4 linked regions of the Anolis sagrei genome follow. The protein of the gene in region 4 binds, or shares a complex with, the protein of the main gene of each other region. Links are inferred from orthologs where the notes say so. Each region holds a gene or a part of one and is shown on either strand. Other genes may lie near its edges. The genes, in order: CDC45, GINS2, GINS4 and MCM6.

Evidence for each region.
Region 1: MCM6 (region 4) and CDC45 share a complex: the UniProt entries of both Homo sapiens proteins name them as parts of the CMG helicase complex. The link is inferred for Anolis sagrei from reciprocal best matches to the Homo sapiens genes MCM6 and CDC45.
Region 2: MCM6 (region 4) and GINS2 share a complex: the UniProt entries of both Homo sapiens proteins name them as parts of the CMG helicase complex. The link is inferred for Anolis sagrei from reciprocal best matches to the Homo sapiens genes MCM6 and GINS2.
Region 3: MCM6 (region 4) and GINS4 share a complex: the UniProt entries of both Homo sapiens proteins name them as parts of the CMG helicase complex. The link is inferred for Anolis sagrei from reciprocal best matches to the Homo sapiens genes MCM6 and GINS4.

What each region holds. Positions count from the first base shown.
Region 1 is NC_090034.1:34,185,937-34,193,934, reverse strand, and holds the start of CDC45 (cell division control protein 45 homolog), read right to left. Parts: upstream 3,009-7,998; 5' UTR 2,755-3,008; coding exon 2,701-2,754; intron 2,660-2,700; exon of another isoform or gene 1,972-2,659; coding exon of another isoform or gene 1,921-1,971; intron 1-1,920. Other genes in the region: UFD1 (ubiquitin recognition factor in ER-associated degradation protein 1), read left to right, coding at 3,120-3,122, 7,046-7,178. UniProt on the Homo sapiens protein: Required for initiation of chromosomal DNA replication. Core component of CDC45-MCM-GINS (CMG) helicase, the molecular machine that unwinds template DNA during replication, and around which the replisome is built.
Region 2 is NC_090028.1:24,665,675-24,672,772, reverse strand, and holds the start of GINS2 (DNA replication complex GINS protein PSF2), read right to left. Parts: upstream 3,012-7,098; 5' UTR 3,000-3,011; coding exon 2,874-2,999; intron 1,787-2,873; coding exon 1,672-1,786; intron 1-1,671. UniProt on the Homo sapiens protein: Required for correct functioning of the GINS complex, a complex that plays an essential role in the initiation of DNA replication, and progression of DNA replication forks.
Region 3 is NC_090027.1:4,071,027-4,078,465, reverse strand, and holds the start of GINS4 (DNA replication complex GINS protein SLD5), read right to left. Parts: upstream 3,010-7,439; 5' UTR 2,963-3,009; coding exon 2,873-2,962; intron 2,279-2,872; coding exon 2,192-2,278; intron 1-2,191. UniProt on the Homo sapiens protein: Required for correct functioning of the GINS complex, a complex that plays an essential role in the initiation of DNA replication, and progression of DNA replication forks.
Region 4 is NC_090021.1:213,785,205-213,792,502, forward strand, and holds the start of MCM6 (DNA replication licensing factor MCM6), read left to right. Parts: upstream 1-4,292; 5' UTR 4,293-4,336; coding exon 4,337-4,452; intron 4,453-4,886; coding exon 4,887-5,033; intron 5,034-6,242; coding exon 6,243-6,353; intron 6,354-7,298. UniProt on the Homo sapiens protein: Acts as a component of the MCM2-7 complex (MCM complex) which is the replicative helicase essential for 'once per cell cycle' DNA replication initiation and elongation in eukaryotic cells.

The sequences.
Region 1 (7,998 bases), on a different chromosome or scaffold from region 4:
GCGCTAGAAATAATATCCCACAAAAGCTGACTGGCACAACCTGGAGATCACAACCAGACACAGTGAAGACACCTGCCCTTGTGTTTTGCTACTCTGCCACTGAATACGTATGCCTAGTGTGGAATATGTTAAAACAGTGGATGTGAGTCTTAATGAGACATACCACATTACCACAAGATGTCTATGCCCTACACCACTGGAGAAACTATACTATTTAGCTGGTATTGCACCACCTGACATCTGTTGGGAAGTAGCAGCCAATAATGAAAGGACCAAGGCAGTGACATCCCTGGCCCATCTTCTGTACAGATACCAGCCAGCATACCAATGCATTAAATCAAGAAATAGCTTTCTAAGATCTACAGACGCACTCACAGGAACACCTGAGAAAGCAAGAGTTGAAAAGTGGCAGGCTAAAACCCAGAACCTCAATCAGTGGCTGAGACTGGATGAGAGATTCCCTCCTGGGCACACAGAAGACTAGGCGACTTGAAAGGCGCTGAACAGACTGCACTCTGGCACCACGAGATGCAGAGCCAATCTTAAGAAATGGGGCCATGAAGTTGAATCCACAACATGCAAGTGTGGAGAAGAACAAACCATAGATCACTGACTACAATGCAGTCTGTGCCCCACCACATGTTCTGGAAATGACAACCTTCTTCAAGCCTTCTCTAGTAATGTTTATCTATGAACCTGTTGCTTACTGTTTGTATGTATGTTCTGGGCATGTAGCTTCATTTACTCTATGGTTCCTAGAAAAGGGCTGCAAACCACATTATCACTATAGCAAAGAAACAGACTACTTCATGACTACAGACTATTTCAGACCTCAGATCACACACTTGCTTGCTGTTTTTGCTGTAAGATTGTCCTGGCCGATTGGACTAAGGTATGCTGAATGAATGAAGGTTGTGAGTAAACCAAATATGTTATTTTTATCAAAGTCTACTTAATTTTTGTCTTTTGAGTGCATGATATAAAACAAGTTGTTTTATGGGAGAGTATATATATATATGGACAACTAAAAACACTTCTAAAGTTCTGCTGTTTTATGAACTGGCAAAAATATCTATTTTCCTAACAGATCAGAGATAACAGGTTATTCGGTCTAACAGCTGCAATCATTGCCTAGCACAATTACATCTGGTTGTACACCACAAGAGAAGATTCTAAACAAAGGGATTTTTGGCTCTTCCCAAAAGGTCATGCTTTTTTAAAGTTATGATCTCCAAATGGTGTTTTCCAAAAACATGCACCTTCTTACAGTGAAACCAGAGGCTCTCCAAGTGGCCATCTTCTGGTGAAATGAAATCTTGTATAATGCCAAGTTTTTAACTTTGTGTTTTTAATTTAAAATACATTATAACTGTATTCTCAATTCACTTCTGACACAATAAATAAAAATAAATAGCCAGGCAGAAAGGCACACTCATAGCAGCCCTGGATGGCCACCCAGCCTTAGTTCAAAAATCTCCAGAGAAGGAGACTCCAATGGATTCCCAAGCAGTCTATATTTCTCTAGAGAACCCCAAAGGGCATCCAGTCCAACCCCCTTCAGCCAGGCAGGAGGACACCATCAAAGCATGCCTGAGAGATGGCCATCCAGGCTCTGTTGAAAAGCCTCCACTTCAATCCCTACAGAAGTGGAGTGCTGGTGTTATTCAAGTGTGGGAACTGCTAAAACTTTGATCATTCGCAGTTTGTTGATTGAGTGGCAGTAATGAGCACTACAATGGGTAAGTTTCTAATTAGGACAAGAAAATGGTTGCCCCGAGTCCCTCGCAGCTTCTGAGAGTGGGAGTCCCCCTGAGGGAGCTCCCTGGGCTCCTGAGAGCGGGCGGAGGCCTTCCTCCTCCATCATGGCCGCGCCTCAAAGAGGGAGCGGCGGCAGACTCCCGGAGAAAAGCTCCCGCTCACCTGGTTCACAACCACCTCGTAGAACTCTTTGCGGAAGTCCGTTAAGAACATGCTCAAAGGCCGAAGAACCCGCTGACAGGAAGGCGGCAATGGCGTCGGGCGACAAAACTCCTCGGGAAGCTGTCTTCCCCGCTCAAAGGAAGGCGCCAAAACCTTTCCCTTTCCCTATTGGCCGCCACGCTCCGGGCCTCGACCAATGGGCTGTCTCCTCTCTCTCTCTCTTTCCGTGATCTTCATTGGACAAGTTCGAAGCGGGCCCGCCCCGGTACCTGACACCAATCACCACCTGGGCATAGTCAGCCGGAACATTTGCTCAGTCGCCGCACAACAGCCAAGGGCCCTTGACTTCGGCCCCTTCCACACAGCTGAATCCAATCATCTCCTTTGAACTGGGATATATGGCAGTGTGGGCTCAGATAACCCAGATCAAAGCAGATATTATGGGATTTTCTGCATTGATATTCTGGATTATGTGGCTGTGTGGAAGGGCCCTGAGTTCTCGGAGCCCACACTGCTAGATATTCCAGGGCCCTTCCACACTGCCCCTATATCCCAGGATCTGATCCCAGATTATCTGTTTCTCCCAGGTTATCTGGCAGTGGGGCCGCATATACTCCACTTGGAAACAGGTAATCTGGGGTCAGATCCTGGAATAAAGGGCAGCCTGGAAGAACCCCCAGTTTCGAGCAGGAAATGTAGGATTTGATTCCGCGGATTAGGAGTGACGCGGAGCACTTTCCTCTCTCACGGAGGAGGGGGGGGGAAATAATGGCGACTCACAGCCGGAAGTGATGAGACTCCTTCGGGGACTGAGATGACTTGGCGGCGAGGCATAGGGGCGGGTCGGCCCGGCCCGCTCAGCTCAGCTCAGCTCAGGTGAAGAAGACCCAAGCCCAACCTATGTTGTCCTCAGAGGAGTTGCCCGAAACCCCGCCCCTTTTGCTTCCAAGGCGGAAGAGGCCTCGAAGCGCATTCTGGGACATGTAGTTACGAATTCCAAAACACCACTTTGCAAGGCCTTGACGGCCTTCGATGTCTTCCTAAACATTCCTTCGAAAGTGAAGGCGTTTTCGCGGGTCTTTCATGTGGAGCCGGAGTTGTTGAAGGTGTCCCTGGCGGTGAGGCGAGCGACAAGCGGCGGCGCGGAGGCCTTGGTCGGGTCCGAAGCAAGAGAGGCAAAGGAGGAACTCTAGGCCGCCATGGTAAGGGCTTTGAGGCCTAGGCCCTGAGGCTTTTCCGGAGCCTCCCTGCCCCGTCGCCTGCATTGTGACTTCAGAACTGGCTTGGGAGGGGGCGGCGGCTCTGGGATAGGCCTCCTGCTGAGAAAAGTGAAGGAAGCCGCCATTGCTGCCGCCCCCTCGGCCTCTGCCGCCCGAGGCTGCCTTGGGGAGACTTGGCTTTGCTTGGGAGCCACAGTGGAGGGCAGGACAGGGCTCCTGTGGTTGAAGAAGCCTTGTTTCTGGTGACAGGGACATTGGTGGGGTCTTCTTGACTCTTCTTCTTACTCTTTGGGGGGTGGAGGCAGCCTCCATCGCAAGCCTTGTGTTCTTGACAGGACTCTGGGGATCAAGGCCTACTCTAGATTCTTTATATCCTGCATTATCTCTCCATACAGAGACTCAAAGGGACTCACAATACAAAACATGACAACTTTAAATATACAATAACAAAACAGTATATCATATATTATTATAGATGATAAGTTGTAATTATATTTAATATATTAGAATCAAATGACTAACAGTAGTATTTAGCAGCCATTAGTATTTAATTGGTATTAGATGTCTGGATGGCCATCTGTCAGGGATGTTTTGAATGCTATTTTCCTGCTTCTTGGCAGGGGATTGGACTGGATGGCCCACAGGGTCTCTTCCAACTCTATGATTCTATGATATTGTATTATTTGAAACACAACAAGATCAGTCCACAGCAGACAGTCTGCAGACTGTTGTATTGGATCACACGTCGAACACTTCCCAAGTGTTTAGGAATGTGTGATGTATCGGCAAGTAATGCGTGCAGATCCCAGTAAGGTGGCCTTCTGCAGCTGGCAGATGGTAATTTTGTCAGCGCCGATTGTGTTTAAGTGCATTACATAATTAATTACATTATTAATTACATTATTATTATTATTAAGTGTATTACGTTATTATTATTATCACAGCTACATCATGTCTCCTGCAGCATCACTCTGGAGCCCCTCAATATATATAATATTATAATATGTAGAAATAATTACATTGTAATGTAATAATACTTTAAAATGCTATAATATAATATATTGTATATTGTATATACTAAAACTTATAATATAGTACAATGTATTGTAAAATACCAATAGTATAATATACTGATAGTGTATTATATTGTGGTATAATCATGTAGTACGATATAATTATATAATAAGTCTGTATTATATAGTGCATGTAATATTACTAATAATACTGCAGCATAGTGGTACAGTACAATATAATGATGTATAATACTAATATTGTGCTATGCTAATAAAATTATATATATGTAATAATATAATAATACTCTATAGGCCAGACCTGGACCAACTTTTGCTCTCCCTCCCTCCAGGTGTAGTTTTATGAGGCATCCACATTCTTTGGGAGAGAAGGCTCAAGACCTTGGAAAATTACAGCCGCCATGACTTCATAGCATTGAACCAAAGCAATTAAAATGCATTCATACTACAGCATAGATGCACCCCAAGGGTTTCCTCTCAGTCGCTGGAAGCTTTGGTGTCCTAACACTTTTGCTTTGAAAGAAGGAATTCTAAACAGGCAGCAACAGTAATGCACACCTTTTTTGTCCAAATGACAGTGTGCTGCCAGCAAATACTTTTTTTATTTCAGGGTTTTGAAAATTGAGGTGCGCATTAGGGTCGATGGCGCATTAGACTCACATCAATACAGTATATAAACTCATGTACAAGTCTATAGGCTCATGTATAAGTCTAGAAATTGGAGCTAGAACATGGAACCAAAAACTGTGGTCCCTTGGTAGCATCATCATACATATTTGGATGCCAAAAGGAACCTGGCTTTGAGTCCTAGGCCTCTTTGTTTGAAAAGATAGCCTGAGATAATAGAAGGCAGTTTCACATGTATCCATATACTTACTTTTACTATGTTTGGCAACTATAAACTCATATATAGACTCATGTATAAGTCTATATATAATGTATACATCTAGAAATTTTGAGCCATATTATTGACACTAAAAAATTGGATTGCTCGGTGGCAGAGGACATGTTTTCTTGTTAGTAGTATTACTATTCATATACTTATTGTATCTTTGGGAATTATAGACTCATTTATAGACTTATGTGTATCTCTATACATTTTTAATTATTATGTGTATCCATATAGTATGTTTGAGAACTATACATTGATGTATTCATCTAGAAATTTGAGCCGGAACATCAACTCCAAAAACCTGGGTCGGCTTATCCACAGGTCTGTGTACATACTGTAACTCTGATCAAGACAGGAACCTCCCCCTTCTTTGAGTAAGATGGCAAAAGGCAAACACTTGGTCCAACTCAGGGGAACTTCAAAGAATCACCAGTCTCCTGTACTCTCGGCTGCCAAGCTGCTTCTAGACTTACTGAATGTCCTGCAGGGGAAAATAGTAGCGGCAGCACTGGCGCTTTCCCCTCTCTACAGAATAACCCTCAACTTACCCATGGGTCATATCAAAATCCATAATTTTTACCCTCAAACATGTCCTTGACTTATACATGAGTATATACAGTGTATGTATGTGTGTATATACATACAGATACTTGCACACACATGTATGTATGTATATGCACGCACATATATTTTCTTTATAAAATGCAAGTGTAAATAAAAGTACAGTTTCTAAATTCCAGCTGGGTTACAAGAACATCAAATGGGGAAAATGACATTCCTCAGGTAAGGCATAAGGTTGTTATCACTCCACATGTTTAGAGCACTTTGATTCCTCTTTGGCAACTTCCTTTGGAATGCAAAGGCTTGCTTTTTAGTAAGACCTGAGAGCTCTCCAGCTGAGGTTTCTCAATGCCCCTCCTTCAACTGCAAATCACATCCTTCTGTATGATATTAACATGGCAGTTAAGGTGGAATAATCTCACAATAACAGTGGGATGTGATAGGAATCTTCTAAAGGAGTGGGATAAACATTTCCAACTCTCAACCTCAGGAGTTGTTGGGAGTTGTAATTTTGGGGTAGCATGAGCACTCCTGCAGAGAAGGTAAAAGAGCTTGCAAAACAACAACTTCTGTGATTTCATAGCATTGAGACAGGGTAATTCAGGTGGAGTCAAACTGCATTAATTCTACAGTGTGGCTGCATCCCTTGCTTGGCCATGGAACCCCAAAGGGAGACCTTGGGCAATTTGTGCTTTCTCAATGTAAGAGGAAGGCAATGGTCAACCCTCTGAACTAAGAAAATCCAATTTGTCCAATGTTGGAAATGACTTGAAGGCACACAACAATGCTAAATATGCAATATTGATTCGCCGTCTGCTGGTTTGAGCCTCACATCAACCTCATGAAAGAAGGATGTCCAATTAAGCTTTATCTGGATGGAAAACTGTTAGCATCCCCCTCCAATTTATTTATTTATTTATTTACTTCATTTATATACCGCTTTTCTCAGCCCTCGGGTGACTCAAAGCGGTTAACAATAGCAAAAATTCAATGCATAACATCATAAAACAGTTAAAAAATGAATACAATAATAACATAATAAACAGTTAAACATCAATATAACGTCTCATTAACGTCTCAAGTAAAATCACAATCCAATCTCATCCGTTGTTCTGTATTCCTATGTTCATTACACTGCCTATTCAAATGCCTGCTCGAACAACCAGGTCTTCACTTTCCTCCGAAATGCCAATAGGGAGGGGGCCTACTACTACAACAATGTGTTGGACTACAACTCCCAGAAGCCCGCCTGTCAATGGCCATGTTAAGGAATTGTGGGGGTTATAGCCTGAGACATTTTCGGGGTCAAAAGTTCTCTCTTTCTGTCTCAGTATCTTGACCACTTTGGCTTGTCGTGTTCTGTGTAAAGGCCACCCACGTCTTCGAATGCCTTGGCTTATAACTTATTTTGTTCTCCCCAGTTTTCTTTCAACATGTTTGATCATCCGATTCCCCGAGTCTTCCAGAACCGTTTCTCAACTCAATACCGTTGTTTCTCAGTGTCAATGCTTGCTGGGCCTAATGACCGATCCGATGTGGAGAAAGGAGGGAAAAGTATGTGTTGGTTTTTCTTTGGGATGCTCTCTGGAGTGGTCTTCTCTTATGGGACCTAAAATAACAATGAGCTGCAAAGCATTTTTGTCACCTTTGTGGTTACTTTGGGAAGAAGGAGCGGACTGAAAGACATATAGACTGCCTGCCATCTCTGCGGGGGATACGTGAAAAGGTGGATAATAGTGAGCCCTAAAGGACAGGGACTTTTGCCCCAAGACTAGTATAGAGTTTTTTTCCCTCTTTTTACAATATCTTAGACAAGGGAGTATACCATATTATATACAAACCAACAGTAAAAGAAAAATAAATCTATGACATCTTTAAGCATATTTATCATTTTTAAACTTTCCATTATAACTTATACTTCATATACCTCTACTACACACCTTTTATCTACTTATACATATTTTATTTCTTTATTATTATAATACCTCCCCCCCCTTCTCTTTTGTGGCTCCTTCACCATTGATGAATCTATATATATTTTTAAAAGGCTAGTATAGAGTTGAGCTGGAGGACCTAGAAAATGCTTATAATATATTTTTTCAGACCTAGATAAATGAAACGGTACTGTATAGAAAACAACCCCCTGTATATGCTAGGAAAAACAAAATAAAGCAGGAAAAAGTCAACTACACTATTCGTTGCACAAGGTGAGAAGCCAGGATGTCTAATTTTAAGTGTCAATAAGTCATAAATACAGGTTGGAAAGCCATATCACATGGTCAGTGGAGAGTGAGTTGTGTTTATTATACTGCTGTGTCAAGCTCCTTTGTGATAGGGCTTTTATGATGCAACCGTCCCATTTCATTGAGGGAAG
Region 2 (7,098 bases), on a different chromosome or scaffold from region 4:
AGTATTTGTGTAGCGTTTGGTCCAGATCCATCATTGTTTGAGTCCACAGTGATCTCTGGATGTAGGTGAACTACAACTCCAAAACCAAAGAACACTGCCCACCAAACTCTTCCAGTGTTTTCTGTTGGTCATGGGAGAACGGTGTGCCACATTTGGTTGAATTCCATCGTTGGTGGGGTTCACAGTGCTCTTTGATTGTAGGTGAACTATAAATCCTAGAAACTACAATTCCCAAATGACAAAATCAATTTTTTGAGTGAAGGACATACATTGGGTTGTTAGGTGTCTTGTGTCCAAATTTGGTGTCAATTCGTCCAGTGGGTTTTGAGTTCTGTTAATCCCACAAACGAACATTACATTTTTATTTATATAGATTTTACTGATGATGTTGTATAATGTTTTAAAATGATTTTATTGTGAATTGTAATTTTTATGGTATTTATGCTGTTAGCATCCTCTGATGCTTATGTGAGGCCGCGCTGAATCCCCCTTGTGGGGAGAAGGGCGGGATATAAATATATGAAATAAATAAATAAATAGGTTAACAATCATATACATAACAAAAAACTAGGATAGGGGGCTTGCAGAAGGCTGCTATTTCCAACAATAGGTCCATACAGCTTTCATACAATTCCATTCAATCCATACATCATTTATTCATCACACTACCGGCTGTTAGGAATAGTGGGAGTCAGGGGCGGCTCGCGAAGTAAGCGGTCGCAGAACACTTTTTTTTGCCAGGGGTGCAGAGGCGCCTCTGTAAATGCCCCTCGACCGCCACTTGAGGAGTGCCCCCTCAGCTCACAACAGCCCTAGCAGTCCGGGGGAGCCTCGGCTTTCTTGCCTCGCTGCCGGGCGATCCTCTTCCCAAAGGGGCCGGGCCCTTGAGCCTCGCCTAGCCCCTCTCGTTCCTGCTCTACCCAGCCACCGGGTGCGTGAGCAGAGCCGGTGCTCAATCGTTCTCTGCATTCGATCCCTTCCCCGATCCCCCGGCGCTCCACCCGCCTCCTCTCCTCTCCCCAATCCACGGGTGGGCCAAGGGGCGGAGCCGCCTCGTCTGGCCCGCTTCGGGTCCGGAGGCGTGTCTGAAGACCCCAGCGTGCACACCAAAAGTCGCCTCTTCTCTTGACTTTCTCTTCAGCCATTGGGACCAAGAGAGAGAGAGAGAGAGCCCCACTGGCTGGAGGTATCTCTTACCTCCACTCCCTCCTTTGTTTTTGCGCCTACCTTCAGGAAAGGTAGGCATCTCCACCTCTCTCTCTCTTGGTTCCAATGGCTGAGGAGAAAGTCAGGAGAAGAGGTGACTTTTGGTGCACACGCCGGGGTCTTCAGGCACGCCTCCAGACCCAAAGCGGGCCAGGCAAGGAAGCAAGTGCGGCAAGTGTAGTTACTGGGATGTATAGTTCACCTACAATCAAAGAGCATTCTGAACTCCACCAATGATGAAATTGAACCAAATATGGCACACAGAACTCCCACGACGAACAGAATATATATATCAATGATTGGTTGGGGGGGACGGGGGACGGCGCCAAAATACTGTTTGCTTACTGTTGAAAATTACCTAGGGCCGCCTCTGGTGGGAGTTAAAGTCCAAAACACCTGGAGGACTGACATCTGCCCATGACTGGAATAGACACACCCTAAGACAGGAGAAAAGGTCTTCCTTACCCACATCCATCCATTCGGGAGGGATCAAGCGGCACTTCTGCCTCTGTTTTAGGTTGATAGCCAGCCAGAGAGGAACTTGCACAGGAAGCCCAGGATTGAAGGGACCTAGGTCTCCCTACAAAAGGGAAAGCATGAAGAAGTCACTTTAGGTCTGGTTCCGGCATCGTCCTGGAATGTGCAGCTGTTTTCCAGGGATTCAAGATATGAATTACAAATCTTGCATAAGGGACAAGTCTTCCTCCGGCAGGTTCTCCCTCATGCTCTTTCTGTACTACGCATAGGCAATCTTGGACTCTCCAGGTGCTTTGGACTTCAAAAGCTGTAGGCTGTTAGGAATTGTGGGAGTTGAAGTCCAAAACACCTGGAGGGTCCAAGTTTGCCCATGCCTATTCTATACCTCATTATCAACCCCAGAACTTGGGAGTTACTTTTTGTGCACTACAGCTGCCATTCCGGAGCCAGCTAGTATAGTTTCTGAGCAGCAGCAAAAGCTGGATAGAGTCCAGATTGGACTACTGTAATGCGCTCTACGTGGGGCTGCCCTTGAAAACGGCCCGGAAATTCCAACTGGTCCCAATGGGCGGCAGCCAGGTTGTTAACTGCTGCTCCTTACAGGGAGAGGTCAACCCTCCTGTTTAAGGAGCTCCACTGGCTGCCATTCATTTTCCGGTCCCAATTCAAGGTGCAGGTGCTTACCTACAAAGCCCTAAACGGCTTGGGACCCGTCTACCTGCTTTACCGCATCTCTGTATACGAACCCACATGATCTTTTCGATCATCTGGAGAGGCCCTTCTCACGTCGCAAGCGCGATTGGTGGGGACGAGGGACAGGGCCTTCTCTGTGGTGGCCCCCCGACTCTGGAACTTTCTCCCCAAGCTGCAGTCTGCCAAAATTAGCTCTGGCAAAGCTCTGGGTGGCTTTTAACACTTCCTAAACCCCTTTCTGGGGATGATGGGAGCTGCATTCTGCCAAAATTAGCTCTGGCAAAGCTCTGGGGGCCTTTTAACACTCCCTAAACCCCTGTCTGGGGATGATGGGAGATGCAGTTTGCCAAAATTAGCTCTGGCAAAGCTCTGGGGGGCTTTTAACGCTTCCTACACCACTTTCTGGGGATGATGGGAGCTGCAGTCTGCCAATATTAGCTCAAGCCAAGCTCTGGGGGGCTTTTAACACTTCCTAAATTCCTCGTCGCCTCACTCACCCCAATGAGGTAGATCCGGTCCAGGCTGAAGTTGGGGATGATGGTGACCTGCTCTTGCTCGGCCAGGAACTCCACTTCCGCGGCCTCCATGGCAAAATGCAGCCTCAACTCAGCCTCCTGGGGCATCTCCGCTTCCTATTGGTCGGAAACGCGAGCAATCATTTCCGTAGCCCAATGAAACCCCCCGCTTTGGTCCCGCGCACCTGCTATTGGTTGGGAAACTCAAGCCAACCCCGCCCACCGCGAATTGGTTTCTTTTCTTTCCCGCGCTAATTCCAAGCCTGAGAAAGCCGTACATCCTACTGGTTGGGAATAACGTGATTGACTACTTTTCTATCCAATGAAAAGCCTGGGTTTTCCTCAAGCGCGATTTTTATTGGTAGAAAACAAGAGCTAAATCCCGCCCACTGCTCCACCCGCTGCTTTTAGCTTATATTGAAAGCCTCCCGCTTTTCCTGGCGTTTCCTATTGGATGGGAAGAGAAAGTACCGCCCACTACCCACTCTTAACCCAATGAGAAGCTCAATGTTTTGCATATCTCCTCCTACAGCAGACAATCATAGCTGCCATTGGTTGAGAGGCAGAGAAACAGGGAAGACCCCGCCCACTAATGCTTAACTTATGTTGTCTTATTTTCTCGCATGGAATTTAGCCCCGCCTACGAGCGATGTCTATTGGTTGGAGGGTCTCTCGCCCCGTCTCCTGATTGGCTCATTCCTTGGAGGCTTGCTGTGATTGGGTAACGCTATATTTTGAAGCTGTGTTGCACTTTATTGGCTCTAGAGGTGATTAGTCTGTATTTCGGATGCCTCTAAAAATAGATAGATAGATAGATAGATAGATAGATAGATAGATAGATAGATAGATAGATAGATAGATAGATAGATAGATAGATAGAATTAAATATAAATAAATATAAATAAATATAAATAATATAAATATAAATAAATATTAATAAATAAATATTAATAAATAATAAATATAATATAAAATAAAAATTTAAAAAATATAAAATATAAAATAAGATTTAAATTTAAATTAAATTAAATATAAAATAGTATCAAATAAAATAATAAAATATAAAATAAAATATCTTCTATACACACAATAAAAGAGAAAATCTGTATGTGTTTGTATGCGACTGGGGTGTCCACTAACACAGGCAAGGTCCAGCCTCAGCAAACTATAGCTCCCACTACTCAGGAGACATCAAAGGCCAATGACATTGAAGGTTATAGTGAGTACCATCAACATGTCCAAGAGCCCTGCCAATGTCCTCCACAAACACCATCCTGTCCCTCACCCAAATGAAGGCTATCATACAAGGAGAATTTGCTCCTAGATTTTATGTGTTTCCTCCACCACAGACATCCCAGTTTTTCTGACTCTCTCCACTGATGTGGAAATTGCATGACCCCCTCCCCCACTGCCTTTCCCTTAACCCTTCCCTATTCTTTACTATTGGCCCAATTCTATCATTGGTGGGATTCAGATTCCCAAACGTCAAGGTCTATTTTCCCCAAACTCCACCAGTGTTCACATTTAGCCATACTGACCATTCACGCCAAGTTTGGTTCAGTTGAATCCAGACAAGACAGAGGTCCTCCTGGTCAGTCGCAAGGCCGAACAGGGTATAGGGTCGTAACCTGTGCTGGATGGGGTCACACTCCCCTTGAAGGCACAGGTTTGCAGCTTGGGAGTTCTCCTGGATTCATCACTGAGCCTGGAATCCCAGGTCTCGGCGGTGGCCAGGGGAGCGTTCACACAATTAAAACTTGTGTGCCAGCTGCACCCGTACCTTGGGAAGTCAGACTTGGCCACGGTGGTCCACGCTCTCGTTACATCTAGAATAGACTACTGCAACACACTCCATGTGGGGTTGCCTTTGAAGACTGCTCGGAAGCTTCAAATAGTCCAACGAGAGGCAGCCAGGTTAATAACTGGGGTGGCATACAGGGAGCATACAACTCCCATGTTACGCCAACTCCACTGGCTGCCAGTTTACTACCAGGCACAATTCAAAGTGCTGGCTTTGGCCTTTAAAGCCCTAAACGGCCCTGGCCCAAATTACCTGTCCAAACGCATCTCCCTCTACCATCGCAGAGATTAAGATCCTCCGGGGAGGCCCTGCTTTCCGTCCCGCCATTGTCAAAGGCGCGATTGGTGGGGACAAGGGACAGGGCCTTCTCGGTGATTGCTCCCCAGCTATGGAACTCCCTTCCTGGTGAGATCAGGTCGGCCTCTCCCTCCTGTCCTTTAAAAGGATGGTAAAAACTTGGCTGTGGGACCAAGCTTTCGGGACAGGACAATGAAGCGACAATGGGAAAGATGACAGAGCCAATTGGATTTGATGCGGATGGCTAGGACGGTTTTAAATTGTGTTATTTTAAATGGTGTATTTTAATATTTAGATAAATGTTTTTTAATGTTTATGTATTGTACCCAGGCATTGAATGTTTGCCATGTATATGCTGTGCTCCGCTCTGAGTCCCCTTCGGGGTGAGAAGGGCGGAATATAAGTGTTTTAAATAAATCAATCAATAACCCACTGTGCCACCGGGGGCTCCACCTCTGCTGCTAAGAGTAAAGTTTTTATGTTCCTTTTTCCCTCTTGTTTGTGTGTCTTTTGCATGGGACTTGGCTAAAACACGCTTTGTGCAACACGGCCTTCTTGGTGGTGGGCCTCCGCCTGTGAACTCACTCCCCAGTGAAATTAGGTTGGTGCCATCTCTCCTTTCCTTCAGGAAAAAGCTCAAATCGTGGTTGTGGGACCAGGCATTTGGACAGCAGGCTTAGAACGGAAAACAGAATGTTGGTGGACAAGAAAAGAGATTTAAAGACGGGCTCAAAGCCAACCTTAAAAACTCCGGCATAGACACTGAGAACTGGGCAGCCCTGGCCCTTGACTGCTCCAGCTGGAGGTCAACTGTGACCAGCAGTGCTGCAGAATTTGAAGAGGGCGAAAGGGAGACGCGTGCCAAGAGGAAGGCGCGTCAAGCCAACCCCGACTGAGACCGCCTTCCGCCTGGAAACCAATGCCCTCAGTGCGGAAGAAGATGCAGAGCAAGAATAGGGCTCCACAGCCACATACGGACCCACAAGAACACTGGAAGACAATCCTCCTCGGAAAACGAGGGATCGCCTAAGTAAGTGAACTGATAATGAACTAAGTCCCTGAATGTTGAATCTATTTTGGATGTGCCCATATTATTGTTAATAATGTTTTAACTGCCTATTTATATTTAATGTTTTAATCAATGTTTTAATCGTGTTCTCTTGCTATATTGTGTGTTGGCATCGAATTGTTGCCGGCGTAAGCCGCCCTGAGTCCCCCCTTGGGGATTGAGAATTGTTTGAAATAAATAAAATAAAATAAAAATTCTCAATCAGTTGGCATGATGTCTGTTGCAGTTAACCTACAACCTTATGCATTTTGTGCAATTTTACAAAATGACATTTTAAAATACCCCGGGCAACGCCAGGGACCCGTTAGTAAATAAATAAAATAATATAAAATAATAAAATATTTCACAAAAAAACAGGACATTCTAAATGCATAACAAATCATGATGCTTTATAAATATTCCCAAGACTTGGAAAACATTATTATTTCCAATGACAATAAAACATGCCAGTCCAGCAATGGATAGAATCAATGCTAAGGTTGGAATCAAACTTTCAGGCTTTTTTTTTAGGAGGGGGCAAATCTAGCAGAAATATAATTGGGGAGAAATGGCCAAAGAGAGTGCAAGGATTTCAATTCTTATACAAAAAAAAGTGACATAGGAAACCGCATTCAGTTTGATAGTGATGGATCAAGTATACAGTAATCTGGATTGTTGTGAGTTTTCCAGTCTGTATGGCCATATTCTGGAAGCATTCTCTCCTGATGTTTCATCTGCATCTACGGCAGGCATCCTCAGAGGTTGTGAGGTCCTCTAAAGAGGAGGTCCTCTAAAGATGCCCACCATAGATGCAGGCAAAACATCAGGAGAGAATGCTTCTGGAACATGGCCATACAGCCTGGAAAACGCACAACCCAATGATTCTGGCTATGAAAGCCTTCAACAATACATTATACAGTAATCTGATGCTCATTCCAGCCATCATTCCATCTGCAGCAATAATGCCTAATACAAAGAATGTACGTTTTGTCCATGGCGGTTGGTTAAGCCTGAGAAGATGTTGAGGTTTCAAAGGATCTTTATGGCTAGTTGAGATATTT
Region 3 (7,439 bases), on a different chromosome or scaffold from region 4:
ACAGCAAGGACGTTGCTACAAAAGAGGAACCCTATTTGCCTGGATAGATTGGGATAGCAGCTCCACACTTGCATAGGAGAAAACCTCACGTAAGAGAGGAATATAATACAAGGAAATAGAATTACATTTAGTAAATAATAATAATAATAATAATAATAATAATACAGGAAGGACGTTCCTACAAAAGAGGAAGCCTATTTGCCCGGATAGATTGGGACAGCATCTCACACTTGCATAGGAGAAAATCTCACTTAAGAGAGGAATATAAATACAAGAAAAATTTAGTAAATAATAATAATAATAACAATAATAATATAGGAAGGACATTGCTACAAAAGAAAAAGGCTATTTGCCCAGATAGATTGGGACAGCAACTCCACACTTGCATAGGAGGAAATCTCACTTAAGAGATTAATGTAAATACAAGGAAATATAATTAAGTTTAGTAAATAATAATAATAATAATAATAATAATAACAATAATAATAACAATATAGGAAGGATGTTCTTACAAAAGAGGAAGCCTATTTGCCCGGAGAGATTGGGACAGCAGCTTCACACTTGCATAGGAGAAAATCTCACTTAAGAGAGGAATAAAAATACAAGGAAATATAATTAAATTTAGTAAATAATAGTAATAATAATACAGAAAGGACATTGCAACAAAAGAGGAAGCCTATTTGCCTGGATAGATTGCAAGAGCATCTCCACACTTGCATAGGAGAAAATCTCACTGAGGAGAGGAATATAAATACAAGGAAATATAATCAAATTGAGTAAATAATACCACTAATAATAATAATAATAATGATACAGGAAGGACGTTCCTACAGAAAAGGAAGGCTATTTGCCTGGATAGATTGGGACAGCAGCTCCACACTTGCATAGGAAGAACGCTCACTTAAGAGAGGAATATAAATACAAGGAAATATAATTAAATATAGTAAATAATAATAATAATAATAATAATAATAATAATAATAATAATACAGGAAGGACGTTGCTACAAAAGAGGAACCCTATTTGCCTGGATAGATTGGGACAGCAGCTCCACACTTGCATAGGAAGAACGCTCACTTAAGAGAGGAATATAAATACAAGGAAATATAATTAAATATAGTAAATAATAATAATAATAATAATAATAATAATAATAATACAGGAAGGACGTTGCTACAAAAGAGGAACCCTATTTGCCTGGATAGATTGGGACAGCAGCTCCACACTTGCATAGGAAGAACGCTCACTTAAGAGAGGAATATAAATACAAGGAAATATAATTAAATATAGTAAATAATAATAATAATAATAATAATAATAATAATAATACAGGAAGGACGTTGCTACAAAAGAGGAACCCTATTTGCCTGGATAGATTGGGACAGCAGCTCCACACTTGCATAGGAGAAAACCTCACTTAAGAGAGGAATATAATACAAGGAAATAGAATTACATTTAGTAAATAATAATAATAATAATAATAATAATAATACAGGAAGGACGTTCCTACAGAAGAGGAAGGCTATTTGCTGGATAAATTGGGACAGCAGTTCCACACTTGCATAGGAGGAAATCTCACTTAAGAGAGGCCTATAAATACAAGGAAATATAATTAAATTGAGTAAATAATAATAATAATAATAATAATAATAATAATACAGGAAGGATGTTGCTACAAAAGAGGAAGGCTATTTGCCCGGATAGATTGGGACAGCAGCTCCACACTTGCATGGGAGAAAAATATCACTTAAGAGAGGAATATAAATACAAGGAAATATAATTGCATTTAGTAAATAATAATAATAATTATAATAATAATAATAATACAGGAAGGACGTTGCTACAAAAAAGGAAGGCTATTTGTCCAGATAGATTGGGACCGCAGCTCCACACTTGCATAGGAAATAGTCTCACTTAAGAGATGAATATATATATATGAATAAATATAATTATATTTAGTAAATAATAATAACACAGGAAAGATGTTCTTACGAAAGAGGAAGCCTATATGCCTGGATAGATTGCAACAGCTGCTCCACCAGACTAGGCCACAGCAACACATGGCCAGGATACAGCTAGTAATAATAATAATAATAATAATAATAATAATAATAATAATGATAATAATATGGTGCAACGTAGCTGGCCATTTACACCTGTGTGTTTTTATGAACCTTGTCATCTCTCTCACCATGTGCTCCAGCTGCTCAATGACGCACTCCACGATTTCCGACTTGCTCTCCAGCAGCTCAGGGGAAAACTTCTCATTCATCCAAGCCTGGAAAGAGACAGCAAAACCTTGGAGATGGCCCAGATGATGAGAGACACCGGTGGGAAGGATTCTGGGAGTTGTAGTGTGCCTAAATAACCAGCCATGCTGTTGGGGGTAGGGGTTGCTTTTGGGAATTGCATTCCATTCAAACAAAAATAATAATAACAACAATCATAATATAGGGTTGTTGTAGGTTTTTTCGGGCTATATGCCCATGATCTAGAGGCATTCTCTCCTGACGTTTCTCCTACATCTATGGCAAAAAAAATTGCTGATGGGGGGGATTCTGGGAGTTGTAGTATTCCCAAACAGAGTTCTACTCCATCTAAATAAGTTATGGGAGGGATTCTGGGAGTTGGATGGGGAATTGTGGGAGTTGCAGTGTGTTTCAAAAAAATGCTGATGGGAGAGGGGATTCTGGGAGTTGTAGTATTCCCAAACAGCATGTCCCACTGATGAGGAAGCTCATGGTAGACAGTCAAATAAAGTGGCCACATTTGGGGAGGTGATTGGGTTGGAGGAGGGGGGTCCTGGGCCTGCCATAATTGAAGGGGAAGTGTCCTGGGAGTTGTAGTTCCCCCAAGGGCCGCCTGGGCTCACCTGCTCCAGGTGTTGGATGAGCTGGGCCGGGGTGAGCACCACTTCCTCGCCCTCTGACTCCAGCCCGGCTTCCTCCTCCGCCTCGGCCATGTTGGCGCCAAAGGGAAGCCCAACACTTTCCCGCCACGGATTCTAATTAGGTGTGCTGACGTCAGCGACGCTGAGGAAAGAAAGAACGGCACTGGCCCCGCCTACTTATGAATATTGCGCGCCAACATGACTCTCGGCCCCGCCCCTTCACATTCTTAAAGGAGCCGGACAATGTAAATATGTCAAGGCCGGAATCACCCACTTGCTGGCCATCCAAACATCCGGGTAACGTCCTTGCAGACGGCCAATTCTCTCACACCAGAAGCGACTTGCAGTTTCTCAATAATAATAATAATAATAATAATAATAATAATATACTGGAGAGAATAATAATAATAAAATATAATACTATAATATAATAATAATAATATACTTGGAGGGAAGAATAGTATTATTATTTATTTATTTACTTACTTACTTACTTTGCTTCTATACGGCTGTATCTCAAGCCCGAAGGCGACTCACAGCGGTTCACAAACAGTAAAAACAGTAGAAACAGCAGTGGTTCCATACAACATATAACAATTGACTTAACACATTATCCATAAATTACCAATAAGCAATTACAATGCACAATTATTACAAAACACAACCGTACCCAATCTTCTCCTCATCCAAGCGTAGTCCAGATTCGTCGTCCATTGTTCCATTCCTATGTTCCATTACCAGATTGCACTAAATTACTCAAACGCCTGCACAAACATCCAGGTCTTCACCTTTTTGCGGAATACCATTAGAGATGGTGCTAGTCTAATGTCCGTAGGAAGGGCGTTCCACAGCCGAGGAGCCACCACCGAGAAGGCCCTATCTCTCGTCCCCGCCAGCCGAGCTTGAGAAGCAGGCGGGATCGAGAGCAGGGTCTCCCCGGAAGATCTCAAAGTCCTGGTGGGTTCATAGGCAGAGATGCGGTCAGATAGGTAGCTAGGGCCGGAACCGTTTGGGGCTTTCAAGGCCAACGCCAGCACTTTGAATTCAGCCCGGTAGCAGATCGGTAGCCAGTGGAGTTGGCGCAACAGGGGGGTTGTATGCTCCCTGCACTCCGCTCCTGTTAAAATCATGGCTGCCGAGCGTTGGACTAGTTGGAGCTTCCGAGCTGTCTTCAAAGGCAACCCCACGTAGAGAGCGTTGCAGTAGTCTAAACGGGATGTAACCAGAGCGTGGACTACCGTGGCCAAGTCAGACTTCCCAAGGTATGGGCGCAGCTGGCGCACAAGCTTTAGCTGTGCAAATGCTCCCCTGGTCACCGCCGAAACCTGGGGTTCCAGGCTCAGTGATGAGTCCAGGGTCACACCCAAGCTGGGAACCTGCGTCTTCAGGGGGAGTGCGGCCCCATCCAACACAGGCTGTAACCCTATGCCCTGTTCGGCCTTGTGACTGACCAGGAGTACCTCTGTCTTGTCTGGATTCAATTTCAATTTGTTCGCCCTCATCCAGACCGTCACAGCGGCCAGGGACCGGTTCAGGACCTGGACAGCCTCCTTATTATAAGAGGCCTCATAATTTAAGATCTACTGGGGAGGCCCTGCTCTCGGTCCCACCAGCGTCTCAAACGCATCTGGTGGGGACGAGGGACAGGGCCTTCTCGGTGGTGACCCTCTGCTTGTGGAATTTGCTCCCCAGCGAGATTAGATTGGCATCCTCCCTCCTTACTTAAAGGAAAGGAGCCCCTGGTGGCACAGTGGGTTAAACCCCTGTGCCGGCAGGACTGAAGACCAACAGGTCACAGGTTTGAATCCGGGGAGAGGCGGATGAGCTCCCTCTATCAGCTCCAGCTCCTCATACGGGGACATGAAAGAAGCCTCCCACAAGGATGATAAAAACATCAATTCATCCGGGCATCCCCTGGGCAACGTCCTTGCAGACGGCCAATTCTCTCACAACAGAAGCGACTTGCAGTTTCTCAAGTCACTCCTGACATGACAAAAAAAATTGGAAGGAATTACCTACTTGCTGGCCATCCAAACATCCAGGTAACATCCCTTGGGTAAAGTCCTTGCAGATGGCCAATTCTCTCACACCAGAAGCGACTTGCAGTTTCTCAAGTCACTCCTTGACTGGGAGTTTCGGCCTGGACTGCTACCAATATGCAGACGATACCCAACTCCTTCTGCGCCTGGAGTCTGGAGCAACGTCAATTCCAGACAATTTCACCCGATGTCTGGAAGCTCTGTCGAACTGGCTACGTGCTAGCAGACTGAAGGTGAACCCGGCGAAGACTGAGATTCCCTGGCATGGCCGCCCGGCAGGTCTGACTCCTCCGTTGCCCACCTTCGATGGTGCCGCCCTCTCTCCATCGACCACTCTTAAGAGCTTAGGTGTCATCCTGGATTCACAGCTGACAATGGAAGCTCAGGTCGCTGCTGCCACTAAACAGGCCTTTTTCCATCTACGACAAGCGAGGCAACTGGCACCCTCCCTATCTGGCGAGGCTCTGGCAATGGTCATCCATGCTACGGTCACATTTAGGCTGGACTATTGCAACGCCCTGTATGTGGGCCTTCTGATGTCTACGACCCGAAAGCTCCGTATTGTTCAGAATGTGGCAGCCAGGCTACTCACAAGAACGCCCATGAAATAATGCCATATCACACCAGTGTTGCGGCATTTGCATTGGCTTCCAACCAATTACCGTGGTCTATATAAGATGCTAGCTCTGACCTTTAAAGCTCTTTACGGCCAGGGTCCATCGTACCTTAGGGACCGCCTCTCCTTCTCCCATCATCGGAGGTCGCAACGACCATCCCAACGTGACTTACTCCATATCCCGGGTCCTAGAGAAGTGCCCTTGGAAAGGACCAGGCGCAGGTGGGCTTTCTCTCTTTCTGCCCCTCCTGCCTTATTGTGGCATTCCTTGCCGCCCTACATGAGAGCCATGCGTGACTTAGGGCCTTTTACTCTAGCACTTCAGACACCTGGCTTTTCACTAGAGCATTCGATCTCTGTTGATTTTTAATTTTTGTATGTATGTATTTTATCTTTTGTAATTTAGCTCTAAATCGCCCATAGCATTCTCGGATGGAGGGCGATTAATAAGTTATTAAATGATGATGATGATGATGACACAACAAAAAAAAATGGACGGAATCACCCACTTGCTCGCCATCCAAACATCCAGGTAACATCCCTTGGGTAACGTCCTTGCAGACGGCCAATTCTCTCACACCAGAAGCGAGTTGCAGTTTCTTAATAATAATAATAATATAGGTAAAGGTAAAGGTAGTCCCCTGACATTAAGTCCAGTCATGTCTGACTCTGGGGTGTGGTGCTCATCTCCATTTCTAAGCCGAAGAGCCAGCGCTGTCCAAGGTCATGTGGCCGGCATGACTGCATGGAGCGCCGTTACCTTCCCGCCGGAGCGGTATCTATTGATCTAGGTACCGCATCTCCATTTATGAACCCACACGCTCGCTCCGGTCATCTGGGGAGGCCCTGCTCGTGATCCCACCTACGTCGCAAGCGCGCTTGGTGGGGACACGGGACAGGGCTTTCTCTGTGGCGGCCCCCCGACTTTGGAATGCCCTTCCAAAAGAGCTTCGTCAGGCCCCTACTCTAGCAGTTTTCAGAAGGAACCTAAAAACTTGGCTGTTCCGATGTGCCTTCTCAGATTAGGAATCCCCATCCCAAGTCCTAGAAGCACTTTAGCACAACCAATGTTGCTGCACACCGCACTTTTAATCCTACGTTCCTCCTGCCATCTCAGCACTTTTAACCCTGTACCCCATTGCGCCGGCCGAACCAGTTTTAATAGTGTCTTGATGTATTGATGTATTGTCATTGTGGTTACTTTGCTTAATTGTTTGATTTGCTTTGTTTATTGTTGTGTTATGTTTTCTATTGTATTGTGTTTTGAGGCTTCGGCCCGTGTAAGCCGCATCGAGTCCTTCGGGAGATGCTAGCGGGGTACAAATAAAGTTAATAATAATAATAATAATAATAATAATAATAATTGATCTACTCACATTTGCATGTTTTCGAACTGCTAGGTTGGCAGAAGCTAGGGCTGACAGCGGAAGCTCACGCCGCTCCTCGGAATCGAACCTGCGACCTTTCGATCAACAAGCTCAGCAGCTCAGTGCTTTAACCCACTGCGCCACCGGGGGCTCCAATAATAATATATTGGAGGGAATAATAATAATAAAATATAATACTATAATATAATAATATACTTGGAGGGAAGAATAGTATTATAAGAGGCCTCATAATTTAAGATCTACTGGGGAGGCCAGGCCCGTAGCCAGGATTTTGTTTTGAGGGGGGGGGGGCTGAGTTTGGTTCGGGGGGGCTGAGTCTGAGTGAAAGAGGGTCCAGCAAACCTTTTGTATCATTACCCCAATACCCCCCATGCATATGGGATATATTGAGTATGGTGATCAGATCAGGATATGAATAAACATAACAATTTAAATAATGCACCAGTAAGGCCTTCTCGTGGACCACCATCAGAATTTCGGGGGGGGGGGGACTGAAGCCCCCCAAC
Region 4 (7,298 bases):
AAGAGCTCATGTGCCCCACAGAAGAACTTCAAAAAGCTAAAGTATGAAAATAGTTTGAAATACACGTGTGTTGCACTCCAGGCATGGAAACACCTATGACCACCGCGCCACACAAAAGTCCAGGAATATAAGCAAACAGTTTATTGTAAAACACATAAAAGCATATAAAAAGCAGGAATAAGAAAGGAAGATATATAATCCCAAAAGGTTTAGCAACAGGTGATAACCAAACAATAATCCAAATGTCTCATACAGTTCCAGAGGTGACAAAGTCCAGGAACAGCCAGTAATCACAGGTACAGTGTGAAGTCCACAAGCAAGAAGGTATAGCTAGTAAAAACTTGCACAGGAGTACATGAACAGGAACATAGAAAACTTCCAGGATATATTAAATCCAAAACCAAGAGTTAACTTGAACCAGGGAAGTCAGGCTTAGCTTCTCACTCTAACGCAGTGTTGCCTGAACTGCCCTTAAGGTAAACAACTTGTTTAATAGACACCCATAAAAGTGTCACATCCCCTGTAAATTTTCTCTACAACTTTCCCATGTAATCTCTCTGAACGACACAATCTATTTTTGGCTCTGATTTGTAAACAAAAACTTTTGTTGATCCCCATAGCTACAGGTGGTTTCTCCTGGAAACCCTCCTTATCATTCAGCTCTTCACTCAGTTCCTTATCTACTGATGCTACTTCTGGCTCTCCTGACTGGCTTTGTGGCCCTGCACTTTCCGAGCCAGTTTCCTCACAAAGAGAACCATCATTTCCCAGACTTGAGGGCCTATCACTTTGTGCCACAAGAAAGCTAACAATCCCCTCTAAATCATCAGTCCCTGGCTGATCTACAACAATGGGTTCTTTTAAAAAAATGCAACCCTATACACAACTGCTATTAACTTATTTAGGCCTAGACATGTATTACTGTGGGTTTCCTTATTTACCCCACTTGGACTTTCCTGCCCATCCTTTGTTGATTTCGGTTATATTTCAGATTAATATCCTTGCAGCAAGCTCCTGGTACCTTGAAAAACATCATTACATACTGATGCCACTCTTTAAAATGTCATTATATGTTCATTTATCTAGGAAGCTTGTCCTAGCTAGTATGAACATATGATATTATATAGTGAATAACTTACACAATGACTGAGCTGACTTTGCTCTCATTTGATCTCCTTTCTTTCTCCTATTAAAATCCCCATTTCCGTGCCCATCTGTTAATATTTTAGGAAAAAACCATTCTTGGGATCTTTTACAACAAAAGCATATTTCATTTATGTTCAACAAAGTAGATTATTTTTACTCTAACAAGCAACCTCCACAGTCTGACCCTACAAGTCCAGCTCTTTGGCTACTTTCACCCATCCTAATCGTTTAGCTTTTAGACCCCTCTCTATATACTCTGGACCCCAATATATACTAGCCAAGTTGTGTGGTAAATGCTGGCAAGGTGTGACGGAATCACATTAATTCAGAGAGAGAGAGAGAGAGAAGGAGATGTATAAAATTATATTTAATATATAATAAGTTAAACATCTAAAATAGACTGGCTTCCCAATCCACACATCCTATTGTGATATGAGAATTAAAATTCTGGTCTCCAGAGTCATAGTCCACCTCTAGCCACTGCTCTACGCTGTCACTCTATTTTATTTCACAGAGAAATTATGCATATTCTTTTTATTGCCTGTCCTAAATAGTAGGTATTTCCTGAGACATGAGGCCTTGATACAAAATGTGACAATAGGTGGCTGTATGTTTAGAGCCATGTCATTCTGATTTTCAGTGGCCACTGCTGTTAATTAAAAATCCTGAGGCAAGAGCTGGTGTGTGCAAATTGTAGAGACTTCGGAAGAGCTATCTGATCAAATGCTATTTAATATTTTGTGACAGAACTCTGTTACAGTTTTATTATACCTTGAAATAAAGGTGGAAGGAAACAAAAGTGTAGAAATTAAGGTCTGAAAAACCACGTGCTTAAGAAATCAGCTTAGCCAACAGACCAGCTGTGAATACTAAACCTTGACATAATCCCAGAAAAAAATAGAATTACTCTTGTTCTTAGTTGTGTTTAGGTTTACTAAGTGGATTATAAGCAGCTGATTACCACAGATTTATTTCTCTTAAATTCAGTTTCCAGGAAGAATGGTTTGTTCAGCTAATCCAACTGGAATCAATCAAATTCAATTACCTTTCCCCATACAGAGCTGGTAATATCGCTGGATAATAATCTTTTTTTTATTTCTGAATGCTTCATCCCAATAAAGTCATTGACTTTTATGCTGAAAGGCTTTTTGGAAAGTCATGATGCAGAACAAAATAATGTTATCGCAAAATTCTTGTCTTGTGTCTATTACTTTGTCACACAGAAGGGACAAATTCTACAAAGCAATATCTTTGTTACTTATACCAACTCTTGCAAAGGTGATAGACAGCCTGTACAAATGGTTCAAGAAGGGTGGTCCTTTCAGTAGGAACCTTTAAGTTGGACCATATTATTGGCTGCAATCCCCATTTGGTGAAACAATATACAGTTATGACAACATCAGATTGCAGTGGTGATATCATTTCACACCTGGCTACAGGGAAATGCTTCTGTAGTTTTCCAATGTCAGTGCTGCAAAAAAAATCTTGAAAATTAAAGATAAGGAAAAAGGGGGCCAGGTTGCCCTCGCCCATAAAAAAGACCATCATAGTTAAAGATTTTTGTTATATCTTAGTTAACAAAAATAATTAACAATGAAGATCTTTTTATGGAGGAAGGCAACCTGGCCACATTTTTCCTTGTCTTTAATTGGCAAGCTTTTTTTTTTTTTTTGGCAGCATTGACATTGGAAAACTACAGAAGCATTTCCCTGTAGCCAGATATGAAATGATAATATCTGCACTGCGATCTGATGTTGTCATAATTTTATATTGTTCAGCCAAATGGGGATTGCAGCCAAAAATATGGTCCAACTTAAAGGTTCCTACTGAAAGCAAAATGAAGCTACTCCATAATTTGCACAACCCTCTTTATGGATCAGGTTGTGGCGCAGCTGGTTGGGAGTCAGCTACATTAAAATCACTACTGGTCATGAGGTCAAGACCAGCCCGGGTAGAAGTAAGCTCCTGACCATTTGTCTAGCTTGCTGTTGACCTTTGCAGACTGAAAGACATTTGCATCTTTCAAGTAGGAAGTTTAGGTGCCGCTTATGCGGGGAGGGTAGTTTAACTAATTTACGATGCCATAAAAAATCTCCAGCAGCATGCAAATGAATAAGGAAGTACTCCATCGGTGTCACAAGTAGACAGTGAAGCGACAACTCCCCTGATAGCCGGAATTCGAAGCATACCCTGATGGAGCTGGAAAGTTAAATAGCCTCTGTGCGTCTGTCACCCCTTCGGGGTCAGAAGGGCGGGGTAGAAGTAAACCAAATAATAAATATGTTGTGTGTCTATGGCATTGAATGTTTGCCATGTATATGTGCATTGCGATCCGCCCTGAGTCCCTGCGGGGTGAAAAGGGCAGGAGCCCCCGGTGGCGCAGTGGGTTAAAGAGCTGAGCTGCTGAGCTTGTTGACTGAAAGGTCACAGGTTCAAACCCGGGAGCGGCGTGAGCTTCCGCTATTAGCCCCAGCTCCTGCCAACCTAGCAGTTTGAAAACATGCAAATGTGAGTAGATGAATAGATACCACTCTGGCAGGAAGGTAACAGTGCTCCATGCAGTCATGCTGGCCACATGACCTTGGAGGTGTCTATGGACAACGCTAGCTCTTCGGCTTAGAAATGGAGATGAGCACCACACCCCAGAGTTGGACACGACTGGACTTCCATGTCAGGGGAAACCTTTACCTACTGTAAATAAATAAATATGGGTTGTTATAGGTTTTTCGGGCTATGTGGCCATGTTCTAGAAGCATCCTCTCCTGACGTTTCGCCTGCATCTATGGCAAGCATCTTCAGATAAAATAAAATAAAAATGCTACACATTTGAGGCATAACAGGCCAGGAGGATTAAGTCAAGGGTTTTAATCTGCCTTTTTTGGTCAACCAGAAGCTAGCAGTTCGAAAGCAGCAATGTAGATCAATTGGAGGAGAGGTAAAAGGCGCCCGTGAAGACAGCACCATTCCCCCACCGTCTCCAATTCTTGTCCTCCGGCTTTGGGGAGGCCCCTTTAAGAAGAACGTCCACAGCCACCCCTCTTCTCTCCGCTTCCTGTTTCCTCTGGTTTGGCGCGAAAAAGTTGCCGGCGTAACATTCGAAAGGGGCGGGGCACCAGGCGCGGAGGCTTCTGATTGGGCGCGGCGCGGGTTGGTGGCGCGAAATCCCTTCCATTCTCCTGGTATTGGCGTGATGGACTTGGCGGCTGCAGGAGAGGCTGGTGCGGCGGCGGGCAACGCGGCGCTCAAGCAGATCCGCGATGAGGTGGCCGAGAAGTGCCAGAAGCTCTTCCAGGACTTCCTCGAGGAGTGAGTGGGCCCTCCCTGGTTTGGGGATCCTGGGAGCTGCAGTCCTCCAGTGCCTCTACCCCAGGTTTGGGCCAACTTGGGCCTTCCAGGTGTTTTGGACTTCCACTCCCACCATTCCTAACAGCCTCAGGCCCTTTCCTTTCCCCCCTCAGCCGCTTAAGCGGCTGAGGGGGGAAAGGAAGGGGCCTGAGGCTGTTAGGAATGGTGGGAGTGGAAGTCCAAAACACCTGGAAGGCCCAAGTTTGCCCAGGCCTGGGGTAGAGGCACCCCTAGTCTATGCTAGTTTGCTAGCATTCATTAAGCATTAGAGCTGCCTCAGTTGTCTGAATGGATCAGTTTCCCCCATTAATGCTTTGTTGTTTTTTCTTCTATACTTGCATTACATCTTGAAAATGTTTTTGCAAAGCTCTTCCCTGAAACACTGCCTTTTTCAGGTTCCAGGACAGTGATGGCGGAGTTAAATACTTGAGAGATGCCGAGGAGTTGATCCGCCCAGAGAGAAACACATTAATTGTAAGCTTTCAGGACCTGGAGCAGGCTAATCAGCAGCTTGCGACCACCATCCAGGAGGAGTTCTACAGGTGAGACTGTCCCAACTTCTTTATTGACCTGCTTTTTGTGTTATCACTAACTTTATCCAAGGTGTTAAGGAACTTGAAGTTAGTAATAGGTTTGTATCTGTGGGAGATACGTTACTGGACTTCTCATGGGAAAAAGCAAACACTACTGAAATGAACTACTTCTGTTGGATGTTGCCATAGAGTCATGCTGGAGGACAGAGGCCCCTTCCACACAGCTGAATAAAATCACACATTTTCCGCTTTGAACAGGAATATATGGCAGTGTAGACTCAGATAACCCAATTCAAAGCAGATATTGTGGGACTTTCTGGCTTGATATATATATATGGCTGTATGGAAGGGCCACAAGTATCAAGTGAGACTGTGGCAAAAAAAAAAAAAAAACAGAATCACCTAAAGCATTTCCTATAGAGGACATATTTTGGCAATGAAAAAAATCCCTTTTAATATTTTTTGCTTCCTTAAAGCAACTTTATGAGATTTTTTTTATTCTGATAAGTGAAATGTCAACTAATCAGGATTTTAAAAAAACAACAAAAAAACTTTGATTTCAGCACATTTTGTTCCAAAAACATGATGTAAAAATAAGATATAAACTATTTATTTATTTATCTCGTTATTTACTTGCAGTATTTATATTCTGCCCTTCTCACCCCGCAGGGGACTCTGGGCGGATATACATGGCAAACATTCAATGCCATAGACACACAACATATATAGACAGACACACAGAGGCTATATAACATTCCAGCTTTTTTCATGAGGGTATTCTGGCCACCACGGGAGCTGTTGCTTCAGGGTCCATTTGTGACACTGATGAAGTACTTCCTCATTCTTTGCATGCTTTGCATGGAGTCGTAAATTAGCCTCCCGCATAAGCGGTACCTAAATTTCCTACTTGACAGATGCAACTGTATTTCAGGCTGCAAAGGTTGACAGCAACCTACAAAATTTGTTGGAAGCTCACTCCGACTCGGGCTGGCTTCAGACTCATGACCTTTTGGTCAGTAGTGATCTTAATGCAGCTGACTCCCAGCCAGCTGTGCCACAGTCCCACCACAGTTCTTTTGAAGTCAAATACATTTGTTGGCTTGCTCATTTAAACTTTGCTAATAAGGTACACTCCCATGCACTTTGATGCCTTTTGAAGAAATTCTTAAGTCTAAAGCCAGAAAAGTTTGTATCACTAAAATCTTGCTTTCGTTTCAGAGTCTATCCTTACTTATGTCGAGCTGTAAGGACATTTGCCAGAGACCACGGAAATGTCCCTCCCAACAAGGACTTCTATGTGGCTTTTCAAGACCTGCCTTCTAGGCACAAGTAAGCATCTCTGAAGATAGTGAGCATGAAGTGTGGTTTCTATTGGGAAGATAAAAGTATTCAGCTTGGCAAGAAGATCCATTGTGAATGCTGGATCACAGTTCAAGGCCTCTGAACATATAGGGCACCAGAGCAGATTGTCCTATTGCTTTAGCTATGTGTGAGGTTTTTTTGTATAGCCTCTCTCTTGTTTATTAATTTTCATGAGTGCTGAGGGTTTTTTTGTTTGTTTTTTGTACATCTTATCTCTTATGTATCCTCCTGTATATTAGCTCCTCTTTTATGGTGGCATGGTTAATTCAAAAGGAGTGATGCCACCTCACGAAACTTTGGGGGCATAATTTCTTTTTTTATGGACAATGCTGGCTCTTCTGCTTAGAAATGGAGATGAGTACCACCCCCCAGATTTGGACTCGACTAGACTTAACGTCAAGGGGAAACTTTTACCTTTATCTTTATATATTCTTTGCCTAGTATTTTAGGGTTAGGTTAAGATCATATAACATTTTAAACTGAAAATATGTGACGACCATATAAGGTTCATAAATGTTTTCTCGTTACTGTGTATGTGAGTGAGAATATAAATGAAAGTCAACAACTCATGTTCTTTGGAACATTGGAACCATCACAGAGCAAAATTTTGTAGGTGTCATCAGGGGCATCTACACTGTAAAATTAGTACAATTTGACACCACTGTAACTGCCACAGTGCAATGCAATGGAACCATGGGAGTTGTAGTTTCCTGAGACAATCTTTGGCAGAGAAAAAAATCATATAAAACTACAACTCTCAGGACTCTATAGCACTGAGTCAGGGCAGTTCAAGTGGTGTCATACTGCATTATTTATTTCTTTTCTTTTTTTGTAGATGCACTTACAAATAATATTATCCACCAATGTAAGCACAGAAGATACCTTCTCATTCATAGCTAAAGAAAAATTATA